Linked DNA regions of Mus musculus. The protein of the gene in region 1 interacts with the protein of each later gene in a pairwise test. Links are inferred from orthologs where the notes say so. Each region holds a gene or a part of one and is shown on either strand. Other genes may lie near its edges.

What was found.
Region 2: the proteins of Snca (region 1) and Tor1a interact in a two-hybrid assay, tested with the Homo sapiens proteins (2 studies listed by BioGRID, with this or other methods). The link is inferred for Mus musculus from reciprocal best matches to the Homo sapiens genes SNCA and TOR1A.

What each region holds. Positions count from the first base shown.
Region 1 is NC_000072.6:60,826,174-60,830,281, reverse strand, and holds the start of Snca (alpha-synuclein), read left to right. Parts: upstream 1-1,277; 5' UTR 1,278-1,558; intron 1,559-2,654; 5' UTR 2,655-2,680; coding exon 2,681-2,801; intron 2,802-4,108. UniProt on the Homo sapiens protein: Neuronal protein that plays several roles in synaptic activity such as regulation of synaptic vesicle trafficking and subsequent neurotransmitter release.
Region 2 is NC_000068.7:30,965,075-30,969,251, reverse strand, and holds the start of Tor1a (torsin-1A precursor), read left to right. Parts: upstream 1-1,333; 5' UTR 1,334-1,397; coding exon 1,398-1,578; intron 1,579-1,896; coding exon 1,897-2,162; intron 2,163-4,177. UniProt on the Homo sapiens protein: Protein with chaperone functions important for the control of protein folding, processing, stability and localization as well as for the reduction of misfolded protein aggregates.

The DNA.
Region 1 (4,108 bases):
CCCTATCTACTGCAGAGGTGCCACCTTTTCCTTTAATTTCAAGTAAACATGGTATGTGCCACTAGTGTGTAGGAAGGTTGATTTTTAAAGGGAATAAGAATTGAAGGCGTTGCTTAAACAGTTAATTTCTGTCACATTACTTGTACTCTGCATTTGTGGTTTTATCTGCCTCCTTCCTTTATAGCATGCCAAACAAGCTGCTTGTCCCTTGTTTCAAATGCTTTTTTAGACTTCAATTTATTTATTTATTTATTTATTTATTTATTTATTTTTCAGGATTCAGAAGTCAACTGACTTCAAGGATCAGAGAAAGCATTCCCTCCTACGACCCCCCCCCCCTTTTAATACAGTAAACGCTTGATTTAGCTTCCAGTGCCCAACACAAGTTCAGAATACAAGAAAGGAAAAGCAAGGCACTCTGCTGGGGGAGGAGCTTGGCACTCAAATCCACTCTGCTATAAAACAGTGGTATTCTGCTCATCTCAGAGAGAAGTGGGAACGTGTTAAGTAACACAGAAATTGTCTCAAAGCCTGTGCATCTATCTGCGCGTGTGCTTGGATTGGAAGAAGAGTCTGTTCGCTGGAGCTCCACGCAGCCAGAAGTCGGAAAGGTAAGAGGTGTGCAAAATCTGCCATTAAGTAGGGACTAAGGAAGAAACTGCCTGTGATGGTCCCAGAGGGTGAATCCCACAGCCGCTACCTTCCTATCCTGTAACTCTATAGTAAGCCACTTTCTCAAGTGCAAAAAAGCCTTGAGGCAGCTGGTTTTCGACGGTTGGGGGATATTTATTCCTTGCTCCACAGATGGGGAAAAAAAAATCAGCGTCTGGCAGCCGCTGATTGGTGGAAAAGAAAATGGTGATAGTGGAGTGGGAATGAGGATTTGCTGAGCCTCCCCCTGCTTCTTCGACCTGTAACTCTTCCTTAGTCGGCTCCCCTTTGCACCCAGAACCCTTTTAGACTCCTCCGGGGTAAAAACAAATGGAAATCTTAAGCTGTGTGAACAAAAGCAACCCCAAGGGTGTGTGCTCCCTCTCCATTGCCTGGCTCCGCACACAGACCATTTCAGGCGGTCCAGCTCTCTGGTGTGGCATCTGGGCTCGTCCTGGAGGAGGGGGTCGCCTAGAGGAACTGGGAACAGACTGAGGCAGGGAAGGAGGGGGGTGGGGCAGGAGAGGCGCCAGCTCAAGTTCAGCCACGATAAAACTGAGGGCCCTCTGAACTCGAGGGGAGGCTCAGGCCGTCCTCTCTTCCTTCCATCCGGGGGAATGTGCTCCAGATACCCACAGCCCTCACGCACCGCACCTCCAACCAACCCGTCCCCTCCCTAGGAAGAGGAGCGAAGGCACGAGGCAGGCGAGGGGCGGGGAGAGGCGCTGACAAATCAGCTGCGGGGGCGACGTGAAGGAGCCAGGGAGCCAGAGCGCCCGGCAGCAGGCAGCAGACGGCAGGAGACCAGCAGGTGTTCCCCCTGCCCCTGCCTGCCCTTGCCTCTTTCATTGAAATTAGATTGGGGAAAACAGGAAGAATCGGAGTTCTTCAGAAGCCTAGGGAGCCGGTAAGTACCTGTAGATGGGGCAGCTCTGGGGATCTTAGCTAGCCGGAGCAAAGAGCCGGGACGCCTAGAGAAGACCAACTACAGCTGCTTTGGCGGTGGGGACTGGGCCAGTGCGTGGAAAGTACATCACTCGGCTTTCCTTTCGCTGGAGACATGCCCTTCCATCCTGTCAAAGCCCGAGGGAAAGGCCAGGTTGCCTGTGGCATCTGCTTTTTCAAGCGGAAACGCTAGGGTGTTTCATGTTGAGTGCTGGATGGTGGAAGCTTAGTGCTGGGCATTGGGTGGAATTTGAGCATCCAACTTTCATGCTCCAACCCCAGGCATTTCAGCTTCTTTCTGTAGAGGAAGAAGGGTGCCTTTGGCCCATGATTAATAGAAGTGCAGAGGACAGTAGGCAACAGGTGATAAAGGGTTAATGAGCATGGGGTGCAGGGTCTTCTAGAGGATTCCAGCTGAGGACAGAGCTTCTTGGTTGGGTGGTGCTCAAGTGAGACTGCTCAAGTGTATGGACAGCGCCTGCTCTGGGCAGATAGCAGGCAAAGAGCTAGTGGTGGGCAGAAGGTCTTGCAAGATTAGAAAGGCTGGGCTTCAAGCAGTTCCCTACTTCTAGATTAAACAGTTCCCCTCCCTTCCTTCTCCAAAGACTGACTCCTCTCTGGGTCTTTTATCCTCTTGCCCCCACTCCATCTCTGTACGCCCACCTCCCATGTTCCTTTTCTAGATAGTCTTTTTACTTTGAATGTAACCTTTGGGCCCTGGGAACTTGATGGGGTAGAGGATGCCCACCTCCCCTTCTGCAACTCTTCTTCTGAAATATGTATGTAAGAGCAGTCGAATGATCAAACTAGATCCATCCCATCCTTAAGTGACATGACTTTTTCCTAGTATTGAGTGACATAACTCAACAATCAATCAACACTGTGCCCAGCACCCCCACATCCCCCCACCCAAGAAATCACACTTACACCAGGACTTGGGGGAAGGCATACTGATTTTTCCCCCTCAATTTCCTTTCTTTCTCTAGCTGTTTTAAACCTTATTATTATTATTTTTTTACCCAAATTTTCTAATTCAAAATGTATTCTGTATTCTCTAGTGTGGAGCAAAAATACATCTTTAGCCATGGATGTGTTCATGAAAGGACTTTCAAAGGCCAAGGAGGGAGTTGTGGCTGCTGCTGAGAAAACCAAGCAGGGTGTGGCAGAGGCAGCTGGAAAGACAAAAGAGGGAGTCCTCTATGTAGGTAGGTAGTGACACTGTGACTAATGAATTGGGGTGGCTGGTGTGTGGTGTCTGATTCGTGTGCATCACAGCTTCTCAGAAGAGTGACAGCTGTGTGGAGGTGAGAGAATATGAACCTGCATATTAGCTCTCAGAAACAAACAGGGACAATGTTTTCTGTCCTTAGATTCATTAATCTTGTTATTTATGTAGGTTTTTTATTTGGTTTTCTGTTTCTGTGTATGAATACACTGAATTTTAAAAATTGGCAACCCATGAAAAATAACCAAGAATATGCTTATGAATCAAAGACATGTATGGCAGTAAGCCTGGTGGCATTTGGGAAGTGGAGGCCCAAGGACCAGGAGTTGATGGTCATCTTCAGCTACACAGAGAATTTGATGCCAGCCTGAACTATGTGAGAACACACACACACACACACACACACACACACACACACTCACACTCTCTCTCTCTCTCTCTCTCTCTCTCTCTCTCTCTCACACACACACACACTCACACACACACACAATACACACACACACACTCTCTCTTACACACACACATACACACATACACACATACACACACACACATACACACACACACACACTCACACACACACACAAAGAAATAAAGAAATAAAGGAAGGAAGGAAGGAAGGAAGAAAGAAAGAAAGAAAGAGAAAGAAAGAAAGAAAGAAAGAAAGAAAGAAAGAAAGAAAGAAAGAAAGTGAGCCACAAGTACTCATGGGACTTTGATTTCTTTCATCATCACTATAGGTAATACCTGCTAAGTTTAATAAATTATAAAGCTTTAAACAATAGTTTTGCATAATTTTATTTTACAACTGTGAAAATACAACTCCTTTGACCCTCAAATAGAAGAAAGAAAGCAAGTCTTCTTTGGTGGATCTCCTTTTAGGGATCACTTGGTCAGTGGGAACAGCGGGACTTAAGGAACTTCAGAAATGTTTGTTTAGTTCACCTGTCAGAGATCATACATGCTGAACAGTAAGAGGTTGATATTTAGTGCCATTTTCTGCCTGACTGTACACATTGAAAGGAAGGCCAACACTCCCTTTCTCTGTCTTTCCCTGTGTTAAATTGGCTGTAACTTTACAAATCCCTTCTAGTACTTTCATGGAAGGAATAGACACCCATGCACACATGCTTATCCCCAGCAGAGACACAGGTGCACATGGGAGCACAGTTGCAGGGTTCATCTACCTCTCTTTCCTCCTGTGAACACTGTTTCCACCTTCTTAGGAGGGCATCTCTCTTGGTGGAAGACTCAGGGTAAACATTCAGGCTGAAAAGGAGCAGAACA
Region 2 (4,177 bases), on another chromosome or scaffold:
TGATCAGCCCTTTATTGACCAATCTGAATAATTAGGAAGCAATGTTTACACAACATTGATGACAGGCAGTTCTCAAAATAAGGATAGCAACCATATATGAGGGCATAGCAATCAGCATGTGAATAATACAAGGATAATCCTTATACAGTGCACAATAACATTATTCCTACAGTTCCCTAAGGAAGAAACTGGGTAAGAAACTATGGGCTTTATTTAATAATATTGCTCATGGGGCTGGAGAGATGGCTCAGTGGTTAAGAGCACTGACTGCTCTTCCAGAGGTCCTGAGTTCAATTCCCAGCAACCACATGGTGGCTCACAACCATCTGTAGTGGAAATCTGATGCCCTCTTCTGGTGTGTCTGAAGTCAGTATACTCACATACATAAATAAATAAAATCTTTAAAAAAAAATACTGGTCATGGGTTTTTAACAAGTATGAGATGCAGATCCCTCTTTTTTTTTTTTTTGAGATGTCAGACTCTCACTGTAGCCCTGACTGCACCTGGAATTCCTTGTATAGGACAGGGTGGCCTCCAACTCAGATATCCAAGACAATCACCTGTCTCTACTTCCCAGAGTGCTGGGATTAAAGGTGTGTGCTACAATACCCAGCCCTCAAATGTCAGTTTTGTTCTGTTTTGTTTTGTTTTGTTTTAACGACAAGATCCAATATGCAGCTTTGACCTGCTTGAAACTTTGTAGACTGGCCCCAACTCATACAGAGTGTTGGGGTTAAGGGTGCACACCACCCACCGCACCTGTCAGATTTAATGATAGGGACGCACGTTGGGGGGGGGTCATGTGGGAACCCACTATATTATCCTCTCATTTTTAAAAATTTATTCATTTACATGTTAATTTATGCATGTGTGTAAGCCCACATGAGTTTATGAGCACCACATGCACGCAGGTGCCTGCGTCATTTCTTTTTTAATACTTATTTATTTCATGTATGTCAGTACACTGTCGCTGTCTTCAGACACACCAGAAGAGGGCACCAGATCCCATTACAGATGGTTGTGAGCTACCATGTGGTTACTGGGAATTGAACTCAGAACCTCTGGGAGAGCAGTCAGTGCTCTTAACCGCTGAGCCATCTCTCCGCCCATCATTAAAAAAAAATGGTTCTAAAACACTGTTACTTGATGGGGATAGGGCAGCAGTCATCATCACCTGATTCCTATAATCTCAATATTATTCCTGTAACATCAAGGTTCAGAAGCAGAAGGGACTTTGCCCTTAACAAAGATGGTAGCCACTAGCGTCGGTAGACTGCCTGCCCCGGACAAAGAGGGCGGCCCCGCCAGCAGGAACCGGAAATACGAGTCTGGGCGGTGCGCGGGGTACGGTGGGCGCTGGGCGGGCGCTGGGCGCGCAAGGTGCGCGGGTCCGGTTATGAAGCTTGGCCGGGCCGCTCTGGCCCTGCTGCTGCTGGCGCCGTGCGTGGTTCGTGCGGTGGAGCCCATCAGCCTGAGTCTGGCCCTGGCCGGCGTACTCACCACCTATATCTCCTACCCTCGTCTCTACTGCCTCTTCGCCGAGTGCTGCGGCCAGATGCGGAGCCTCAGCCGGGAGGGTAGGCGGGCACCAGGCGTCCGGGATGCTGCGGCAGGGGGATGGCGCCGCTGCCAGGCCAGACTTTGGCCGGAGGCCTGAGAGATGAGTGGTCGGGGCCCGGGGTAGGGTGTCAGCCCTGCGCGGAGCTCTCCGGGGCGGCCTCACGGCACCTCTTCCGCTTGGCTTTGGGGCCAACCCCGAGGAAGGGCAGAGTTCGCAGCACCAGGGTCCCTCAGCGCTCTCCAAACCAGGCTCCGCGGGCCCTGACGTCCTGGAAATGGGGCTGCCTTTTGCCAGCTTGTTTCTCTCCTGACCAGAGTGATCTTTCCTTTCTCAGCGCTGCAGAAAGATCTGGATAACAAGCTCTTTGGACAGCATCTTGCAAAAAAAGTCATCCTAAACGCCGTGTCTGGTTTCCTAAGCAACCCGAAGCCCAAGAAGCCCCTTACCCTCTCTCTGCACGGGTGGACGGGCACCGGCAAAAACTTCGCCAGCAAGATCATCGCGGAGAATATTTACGAGGGCGGACTGAACAGTGACTATGTACACCTGTTTGTGGCCACGCTACACTTCCCCCACGCCTCTAACATCACACAGTATAAGGCAAGAGCATTAAGTTGACCGCCTTCGCGGATGACCCGGAATTGGGGTTTCTCTGTTGTGGGGTGGGATGTGGGAATTCCACGTCAGTGAGTGAGCCACAACATGGCTCTCTGTATGTCAGTTCCTCTTTAAAAGGTGTGCACAGAAGTGGTCATATCCCTTGGAGGAATGACAGCTGAAGCTAGGCTACCGTGTTTTAAAGGGGACTGTCAAGAGCTGGGGGTAGCTCGGCATAGAGCACTTGCCCAGAATGTGGGAAGTTCTGTATTATGTCTCTCCACCCCAACTCCCACAACTCCCGCTGTGGCGAGGGTGCACTGGGGGATAGATATGTAAGTTACAAAGGGTTTGAGATACATAGAGCAGTTAGACCACCAAAGTTTTATGAGTGGCCTCTGTGACACTCATAAAGTGACTCGGTAAGGTGACAACTTGGCTGGGAAGTGGGGACATAACAACTCCAGGGTCTTTAGGAGTCGCCTCCCCCCGCCCCCTGTTGTGAAAAGGAAACCTAGAGGCCAAGTTTGCTTTGACCCAGCTGTTGCAACCTGCTATTGGAGTTTAATTCTGATAACAGGCTCACACCTGAATTCAGGTTCGGTCCCTCCCTCCCTACAGCTGTGCAGTAGGGGCTGTCACTTAACTTGAGCAGGGACATTCTTTATCTTAGAATGGTGCTTCAACCTCGAGTCTGTTAGTGCACCCCCTTTCTGTTGAGCATTGTGTGGCCATAACTGTGGCTTTGTGCAGGTTGTTTAATCTTGGTGCCTGAGGTCAGCGGGTGTTTTCCTACACACCTGTATTCCCAGCAGGCTGAGGCAGGAGGATCACACCTTTGAGGTTAGTCTGGGCTACATAGTAAGCTTCTGTTTGAAAACAGAAATGGAGAGGATGTCAGGTGGAGGAAGAGGAGAAAATAGGGGCTCAGTATCATTTCCTCAATGGCTTTGGGGAGAAGATTCAAAAATGTTGTCATAGCCAGGCATGGTGGCGCACGCCTTTAATCCCAGCACTTGGGAGGCAGAGGCAGGCAGATTTCTGAGTTCGAGGCCAGCCTGGCCTACAGCATGAGTTCTAGGACAGCCAGGGCTACACAGAGAAACCCTGTCTTGAAAAACAAAACAAACAAAACAAAAAATGTTGAGTTAACAGAGCTTGGAACGGTGTCTCGCAGCAGTGGGCGCTTGCTCACAGTCTGGGGCAGGAGACTGGGCAGACCTTCTCTGTGGAGTTCTAACGACTGAGTGAGTTGTATGGAACCATGAGTTGCCACATGATTCAGGTCACTGTAGGTTCCTCTAAGGCAGTTTCTCAACCTTCCTAATGCTGTGACTCTTTAATTCAGTTCCTCATAAAATGATTTCGGTATTACTTCAGAACTGTAATTTTGTAACTGTTATGAATCTTAACACAAATATCTGATCTGCAGGTATTTGATAAGTGCGCCCCGGGGGTCTCGACACACAGGTTGAGAACCGCTGCTGGGAGGGGAAGCTGGTCCATACCTGCAGAGTTGCTGCTTACATTAGATACAAAGGAGAACTGTATTGTGGTCACAGAGCAGTGGAAACACCCTAAGCAGATAGATGTACAGTGTAGCTGTTCGTGTGTTCTTTAGAAAGATACATGGCTGCCTTCCCCAGCTCACTTCAAGAGGAGGGTGGCTGGAAATACCTACACCCTAGGTAGGATTTGGGCTCAGTTTTCCCAGGAAGATGCTTTAAGAGGTCTGTGTGTCTCCCCTTGATGGCTCAGTGTATACGAACCTGGCTGGGGTTTGTCTGGGGCTGGCTTAGGGTGACTGAGGCTCTGACTTCATTCTTTAGCATCTGCCCCACCGAACAACCAAATACAAATAAGGTGGGCTCGTTTGTCTGCTTTATTCTTGAGCCCGCTGCCCATGAGCTCATTGTTGCAGCCTGAACTGTGTTTATTATCATCATCATCATTTTAGTTTGGTTTGTTTTTAATTTTGTGTTTGTGTGTGCTTGTCATCATGTGTGTACACATGTCTG